Linked DNA regions of Oryzias latipes. The protein of the gene in region 1 binds, or shares a complex with, the protein of each later gene. Links are inferred from orthologs where the notes say so. Each region holds a gene or a part of one and is shown on either strand. Other genes may lie near its edges.

Region 1 (4,079 bases):
TGCCTTTCCCTCAATTTTCTGTTTAATTGTCTAAACAAAAAAATATATCTGATATGTTATGAAATAAATGTTTGATATATTTTGAATTGGATGTTCAAAAGACCAAAAGCAAAGAGAAAAATCTTAATCCTTTTAATATAAAATTCTTGTTTTTAAAAGATGAAAATGATTTTAACCACAAGGGGAATCAACTTTAAGCTTGGGTCAAGGTTTTTCACATTGATTCTGACCTGAAACTTGTTTTTCTGCTATGAAATCACTTCCAAACGAACCTAATTCTCTGTTCGTAAAGTGAAGCATTCCCTCTGGATTTTAGTCGTTTTCCTGTTTGAAGGCAGAGATTTTTTTTTCTTTGGTCTCAAACATTTAGATGATAAAATGAATAAATTGAGATGAGTCGGGGTTCCTACCTTTCCTGTTTTAAAGCATATTCTAACATCTTGATTCTTCGAACCAGATCGTTCTTTAGGTTCTCCTGGCCCTTCCTCTCCCCCTGCAGGAACGCTATCCGGGCCTGGAAAGACGCAGAACAGAAACAAATGTTTCAAAACTCTTATGTACACAAAAATATTGTGTCAAGAAAACAACCGAGTCACTTCCAGAGAAACCAAATCCTCCTGGATCTTCTCTTTATGATAGGTTTCTGAAAGATATGGGAGTCACTCTTTAAAGATTGTTTACATGGTTGTTGAGTTGAGTGAGGTCATGTGACACCTACATGAATCAGACACTGGAAAGGAGGTTCGGTGAGCAGCTCAGCCTAAATGTATGGCGATGACAAACCAGACAGAGTTCCTGTGAGTCATCGGGAGCTTCTCAACACCCCTGACCAAAACAGCACATGTGGGCTGCAGTTATTCAACCACGTCACCTCATTAAAACGCCACTGTCGTTGTGTCAGTACAGCTATTTAAGACCGACGACGTCACACTGTCAGAGTTTTGCTCTGAATTCATGTCCAGAGGAGCAAAACGTGGCTCTGGAAGCTGGAAGATACAATACAATTGATTTTTTTTTTACATTTATTTTTGGCTTTTTGAGGTTGCTGTGTAAACATCTAGTGCCATCTAGTGGCAACATTGCAGAAGAACAAAAAGACTTAAAACATGAGGAGGAAAAATTTAATAAAATCTAAAAAATGAAAGAATTCGACAGTTTCTAATAAAAAAAGAATGATTTAAAAACACATTTATTATGTAAAATATTGTGTACATCAATAACAGCGCAGACATAATGCCATAACAGGAAAAAAAAGCATATTTTGGTTAAAACTAACTCCTTTTTCCTCGTTATTATAAACCCACCAGTGTCTCCTTCTGCTTCGTGAGTTAAATTTTAAGGGAATTTAAATATCAAATCTCCAAAAGGGAGATCCATGCAGTTTGATGTGAGAGCCTGACGTTGGTTCAGGGTCACCTACTTCTATAAATATCTGATTGGACCATCCTTTGGGTTGTGACATCACAGACCAGGATCAGAGCAGAATCCTCCGGCCTCTTCATCATCCTCATCCTGGAGACTCACAATACGTTCAATGGCTCTGAGGAGTAACCTTATTGTTCAATGGTGATGAAATGATATCACTACCAACACTCTCATTTTGTTTTTAGCCTTTATTAAAGCGTCCCCCCCCCCCCCCCCCCGACAGAAACATCTCCACAGCTGAGATGATGCCAGATATTCCTTCTAAAAACCCAAAAGGGTCTGCTTCTGTCACACAAACTGAGATGTAGAAGCAGCAGATCTGCTGCTGGACACGGCAAAGCCAACACACACCTGGAGCTCCATGAAGAACATGGAGCAGCTCCAGATCCCGCTTCTCTCATCGGGAAGTCATGTTTGTTTACAGGCTGTTTCCAAGGAGAAATCCACAGACTTCAAATGGAAAATGTACAGGAATTCATGTAAATAAATAAAAAAACTGACAGCAAATAAAGACCTAGAATGCAGGAGATCTTCCAGAGGGAGGTGTGACCTGAAAGATGCTTCGCAGCCAACCAGAGAACCAGAAAAAGCCACTTTTCTATGTATAGGTTGATTAAAAAAAACCTCCAGAATCACGGATTTGAATCGGTAAGGTCATTCGTTTAGGGTCGTCTGACTGTCACGAACAACATCTGACCAACATCTGGTCCAAATGTCAAAACAGCACGATTAACGTATCCACGGCGGCTGCAGGCTCCCGATATCTCAGTTGAGCCACGGGCTCCAAAGCTAACGGCCAACGCACTCAGACTCCCGGCTGGATAACAGACCTCCACGCCGGTTACTCGTCCCCCTTGACATGTCAGTGGGGCTCCGGTCGCTACCTTAAATTCACGTTAATACGTATACCGATAAAAGGTTATTTGAGATCCCCGGTGACTGTGGAAAAAAAGAAGCTAACCATGCTAATGCTAAGCAGCTAACCCATAGCGACGGACTAACCTGGAGTTCGGCCCGCTCCACCTCCCAGTGCGCCCTCTCCATTTCGAACCGGGCCCACTCGTGCTGGATGTAGTGTAGAATTCCCGGGATAGTGTACTGCTGCTGTGGCCGGGCTAACTCGTCCGTCTGCTGGGGCACCATGACCGTTCCGATGGGAGGTCCGGAGTTGCTCCCGTGCTGCTGCAGCGGCGGCGGCCGCGGGGAGGCCGCTCCTCCCCCGCCTGGGTGTTCGTCCATATTTCGGGTTTTGTTAGAACGTGCGGCGCCGTTTGTACTTAATGATTAGCTAACCGATTTTAAATATTAAAGAAGGAAAAAAAAAGGCGCCGAAGGCCTCGCGCGTCTCCGCCGGGGTACTTGTCGCGCTGGCACCGCCGCCGTGGAAGAGGCCGGCTGCCCCTGAGCGCTTAGCGGAGAGCGGCGACTTGGAGGCGGTGTTTACGTGTGAGTCTCACCGGCCGCCATCACTGCTGTCCGCCTGGATGTGACGGCTGCGAGGGGGAATCCTGCCGCGCTGCATGCCGGGAAATCCAGACACACATTTAGACCCCAAACCTAAAAATAAAATTACGGAGCCCGTGTCCTGACATTAAGATATAAAAATATATCTTGTTCCCACAGATTAATATCTTGTTCCCACAGGTTATTATGTCGTTCGCACGAAATACTATTCCGTTCCCACAAGATACTTTTCCGTTCCCACAAGATACTATTGCGTTCCCTCAAAATACTATTCCGTTCCCTCGAAATGATTAACTTGTGCGAACGCAATAATTATGTCGTTCGAACGCAATAATTAATCCGTTCGAACGCAATAATTATTCACGTCATAAGTCATTCACGCGGATATGCTCTCTGTACGCCGGCAAAAGCCGCTTTCAGCGGTAACTTCCGTGTCTCTGTGACCCATATTCGTTCAAAAAAGGAACATGAAAAACAAAAATGATCACTTTATTACCGTCTCAATGAATATAAGAAAAATATCAAAAGATTTATGATAACTAGGCTGCTTTGTCAAACGATAGCTCCTGCTAGGCTAGCTCCGCCGCAGAGCTCTCTGTCTGATCATGTATGCCGGCATTTGGGCAACTGGCTGGTCTGTTGTCAGACAGCTGATATTGTAGTTTAGGGTCGAATAGGAATAATAATATTCAGGACTTGTCTTTTATTAACTTTAGCAGTCAGTATTTTTACATTCGAAGGCTATTAGGCTACATGCTAACTGACTAGCCGATCATTTCCTGTTATTAATTTACGTCATAGATTTACAGCAGATACCTTCACATTTCTGTCTGTGTGTGTCTCATTACATTGCATTGAAGACACGGAGGATGTTTAGAGAACAGATTTATTTATTTTATTTATAAAAGCACAGAAGCATCCATCGTTTTCACGTTCACATCTGGTACGCCCTCAGTCATCTTGCTGCAAAAGCCGCTTCCTGCCGCTACTTCCGTGTCTCTGTGAGCATTCAATAGGGGTAAAAATAAAAGCAAGAATGGTCGATCTGTTATTTTCTCGATGAAAATCTGAAAAATATCATATTAAGCTGGATGCTTCGCCTAAAGCACTTACCTTTAGCTTGTAGCATAACAACAATAGCAGTACGTCCCGTTTCCCAGAGTGCTTTGCTGCAAATCACTGGCCAATCA
Region 2 (3,653 bases), about 6.4 Mb from region 1:
CCCGCCCCCGCCCCCCCACCAGCCGCCGCCGAACACAAAATCCCTCGACGGCTGCGTCGCAAATGAACACGATTCATAATTAAAACGCAGTATTCTTTGTTAACAAATAACAGTGACAACTATCTACTATTTAGCCAATGAACTAACTATATAGGTGTTGTAGAATGTGTATGTGTGTCAGCACGCTGCGGGACTGCGATGGGCTTTAGCCAAATGTTGCAGCATGGGGTCTCTCCCTCCACGTCTGTGGCAGCAAACCCATACCAGTTCCAAACAACAGATGATTTTATTCCTGTCTTGGGATCAAACTTCCCACTCTCACTGGTAGCCATGCTGTGGCTTGCTGTTTCGTCTGTGCTATGATGTTGTTGTTTGTCGCTTGCCATACTGCCGTGTGAAACAAACGCTACGGAAGCTCTGGGGAGCCAAAAATTCACCAAATTGAATACCTGCATTCGGGTTTGAATGACGCATTAATATTGCTGTATTAGTCTTGATGGCACCATCATTCTGTAGTGATTTTAAAGGTAAACCCCTTTGAAATTTTACATTTTCAGCTGTTTTTTTTAACCATTTGCAAGAAAGCAACAGTCATGTTTCTAACATCTATCATTCAAAATTAGTTAGTTGCTTGGACTTTATTTCATAAAACTAGTGACACAGTGGTAACTGTATTGCACACGTTCAGCTGAATGTCCTTAATCCTGAAATGCTTTGATAAGGACACCTTGAATTATAATCAGGAGTTTCCCACAACAGCAGTTCTTTGAAATACAATAGACATCATTTCTGTGCTTCAGATACCCAAAAGGGAAAAAAAAACACCTTTCTTTGTCTTTAAGAGTTCTGAATACATTCCTTCTATGTAAATCTTTTCTGAAGTTCCTCCAGGTATTTATTTAGTAACTTACTGGAAATGTGTGTTCAATTCCCCTTCGCTGCAGAGTTCATGATTGACCGGCCCGAACAGGAGTTCCAGGACCTGAACGAGAAGGCCCGAGCTCTGAAGCACATCCTTAGCAAAATCCCAGATGAGATCAACGACAGAGTACGCTTCCTACAAACTATCAAGTGAGTGCGAGCAGCAGAATGAAAGCTAAAGCAATCAACCCCCCACAATTCCCAGTCTCAGTGGTGATCTGCAGGAGAATCAGAGTGCATGCAGAACCAAATGGTTTTCTCTTTGGACTCCAAATTTGTATCAGTATTGAATAATCCATCTTTAAATTACAGGCACAAGCCTTAGAAAAAAAAACTTCATCTAAAAACACAATTTAATGAAATGTAGAGATTCTAGTGAGGCTTTGGGTCATTGAATCCTCTGGCTCTATTTTGAAAGGCTTTTGTTATATATTTCAAATATATAACAAATATTTGAAATACTTATATATTTCAAATATATATTATATATTTAAAATGTATACTAATACGCTATATAAATAAGACTTTTCTTCTGTAGAAGAAAAGTCGGAAGTGACTCTTATTTATTTTGGGTATTTTTTTTTTTTTATTATTTTTTTTTTGGGTATTGCAAGTTTTAATACTTTTTTTGTAATAACTTTCTGAATTTACATTAAACTCTTTTTTTCATGCCTTTTATATTTTTTTGGCTGCACGGTGGCGCAGTGGTTAGCGCTCTTGCCTCACAGCAAGAAGGCCCCCGGTTCGAGTCCTGGCAGGGGGACCTGAATTTTATAATAATTCACTCTCTAATCATCTTTCAAGGAAACAGTTAGGATATCATACTTTTCTTGGATGATCAAAGGTGGAAGCAAACGTTTAAGGCAAATCCAGGTCTTTCAACAAATTCATAAAAAAATAAAATAAAGGGGAATTTGACCTAATTTATGGCTTTATATTTTTTAATTGTTTGTTGGACAGATATAGTCGTTTAGGGAAATGCGTCATGGAGGTAAAAAAAGATTTGTTTTTGTGAAATTTATGAAATGCATTTAAATACTTCCTTTAAATGCGCTTTTTACTTTTCCTGTATTTAAATCTGTATTAACTGTAATTCACAGAGACATAGCCAGCGCCATCAAAGAGCTCCTGGATACGGTCAACAACGTCATTAAGAAATATCAGTACCAGAACCGCAGGGTAAGTCAGGAACCCCAGAAGACAGCCGGTCAACACAAAAGCTTCGTTTCTAAAGGTTTTTCTTCTCTTCAAGGCTCTGGAGAACCAGAAAAGGGAGTTTGTGAAATACTCCAAGAGTTTCAGCGACACCCTCAAAATATACTTCAAAGACGGAAAGTAAGTGTGAACTTAACACTGACAGACAAGTTCGGGTTATATATGACCCATTTCTTATCTCACAATGAGTCCATCCACGAGTTTGATTGTCAAGCCTTCAGATTTATGAATACACACGAATGTCGGATTACGTTTTAAAAATGGAAGATTTTTTTTAAATCAGGGATATATATTTTAAACAAAGTCTTCATATTTTTGATTTACTAGTTGTAACCTGAAAAAGAAGAGGGAAAAAAAGGACAGACTGTATGATACCATCCCCTGATAGCTCTCAGACTAATTCATTTATTCTTTTTCTGTTTATCACAATTATGATTGTTTCATGTTTGTAGTTTTGATGCTGACCTTTTGCAGCAGATTCACCCCCCGTATTTTTAATTTTTCGTTATTATACAATTATTATTTGTGATTTTACTTTATTACTTAATTTATTTTATTTCCCAACTAATGACTCATCCACGATGAAAGACTCGATTTGATGAAATCGTCCATCGTGATGACTGACTGACATCCCGATCGGTACAACCCTAATTCACTTCTTCAGAAACTACGGCAACAGAAGTTTGATTTTGAAGTGTTGTACTGTCACACTTCGGATTTCTTAGCCTCTAAATGGTTGATAACAGTCTGGAGGAGTTTGTTGGACTTGACCAGATGATGATCAGTGACTCCCCTCACCAGCTAGGTAAGACACGCCAGCTCGTTGCTTAAGAAGCTGGTTTCTCACAGAGTGCTGTCTCCTTCATGCAAAGTGGAGACGTTTTAGAAAGCTTAACAAGAGGCTGGCTAATTGTGGAATGGAAGAGCCACCTCAGGATGTAGGACATGGACTGCAACCATCACATTCTTTGGATTAGGTCAGAGGAAAGGACAGTTTGAAACATGAAGATCCCAGAGTCTGGAGAAAGAAGACAGAGTCCTCGTAGTTTAAGGTTGATTGTAGAGGTTCTTCACTTGCAGGTGGTTTGAGGAGCCATGCCATCTACACGATGTTGTAGAGTTCTTCATACCCCCTTCTACTGATTTTCTTTTTCCCCAGCTGAACCAAACCCTGGATTGGATATTGTTTAGCAAACTCAGCTGATCTAAATTTAACAGACAATCTGAGAAGTTTTGAAAAGAGGAAATGAGAGACGCCACACCCAACCACTGAGAAAACGCCTGGATCAGAGCAACCTGGACTTTAGCACATCCACAGACTGATTGTCTCGCTGCAAATCTGCTTTTCCACCTCATTCATCAAATCGAGTCTTTACTTTTTCTTAAATAACAATTTTTAGATACAAACATTTAGGTTTTTTGTTAGCATTAGGAAACACTAGAAATATCTTAATCTGTGAAAGAAATCTCTACAAGATTTAATAAAAAAGTGATAATGCACACTTTGAAGGCCATAG

Evidence for each region. Proteins that work in one complex are often made in the same cells at the same time.
Region 2: strn3 (region 1) and pdcd10 share a complex: the UniProt entries of both Homo sapiens proteins name them as parts of the core of STRIPAK complex. The link is inferred for Oryzias latipes from reciprocal best matches to the Homo sapiens genes STRN3 and PDCD10.

The regions. Positions count from the first base shown.
Region 1 is NC_019880.2:2,602,412-2,606,490, forward strand, and holds the start of strn3 (striatin-3), read right to left. Parts: upstream 2,926-4,079; 5' UTR 2,665-2,925; coding exon 2,428-2,664; intron 515-2,427; coding exon 411-514; intron 1-410. UniProt on the Homo sapiens protein: Calmodulin-binding scaffolding protein which is the center of the striatin-interacting phosphatase and kinase (STRIPAK) complexes.
Region 2 is NC_019880.2:9,003,981-9,007,633, reverse strand, and holds part of pdcd10 (programmed cell death protein 10), read left to right. Parts: intron 1-944; coding exon 945-1,071; intron 1,072-2,021; coding exon 2,022-2,100; intron 2,101-2,173; coding exon 2,174-2,256; intron 2,257-3,653. UniProt on the Homo sapiens protein: Promotes cell proliferation. Modulates apoptotic pathways. Increases mitogen-activated protein kinase activity and STK26 activity. Important for cell migration, and for normal structure and assembly of the Golgi complex.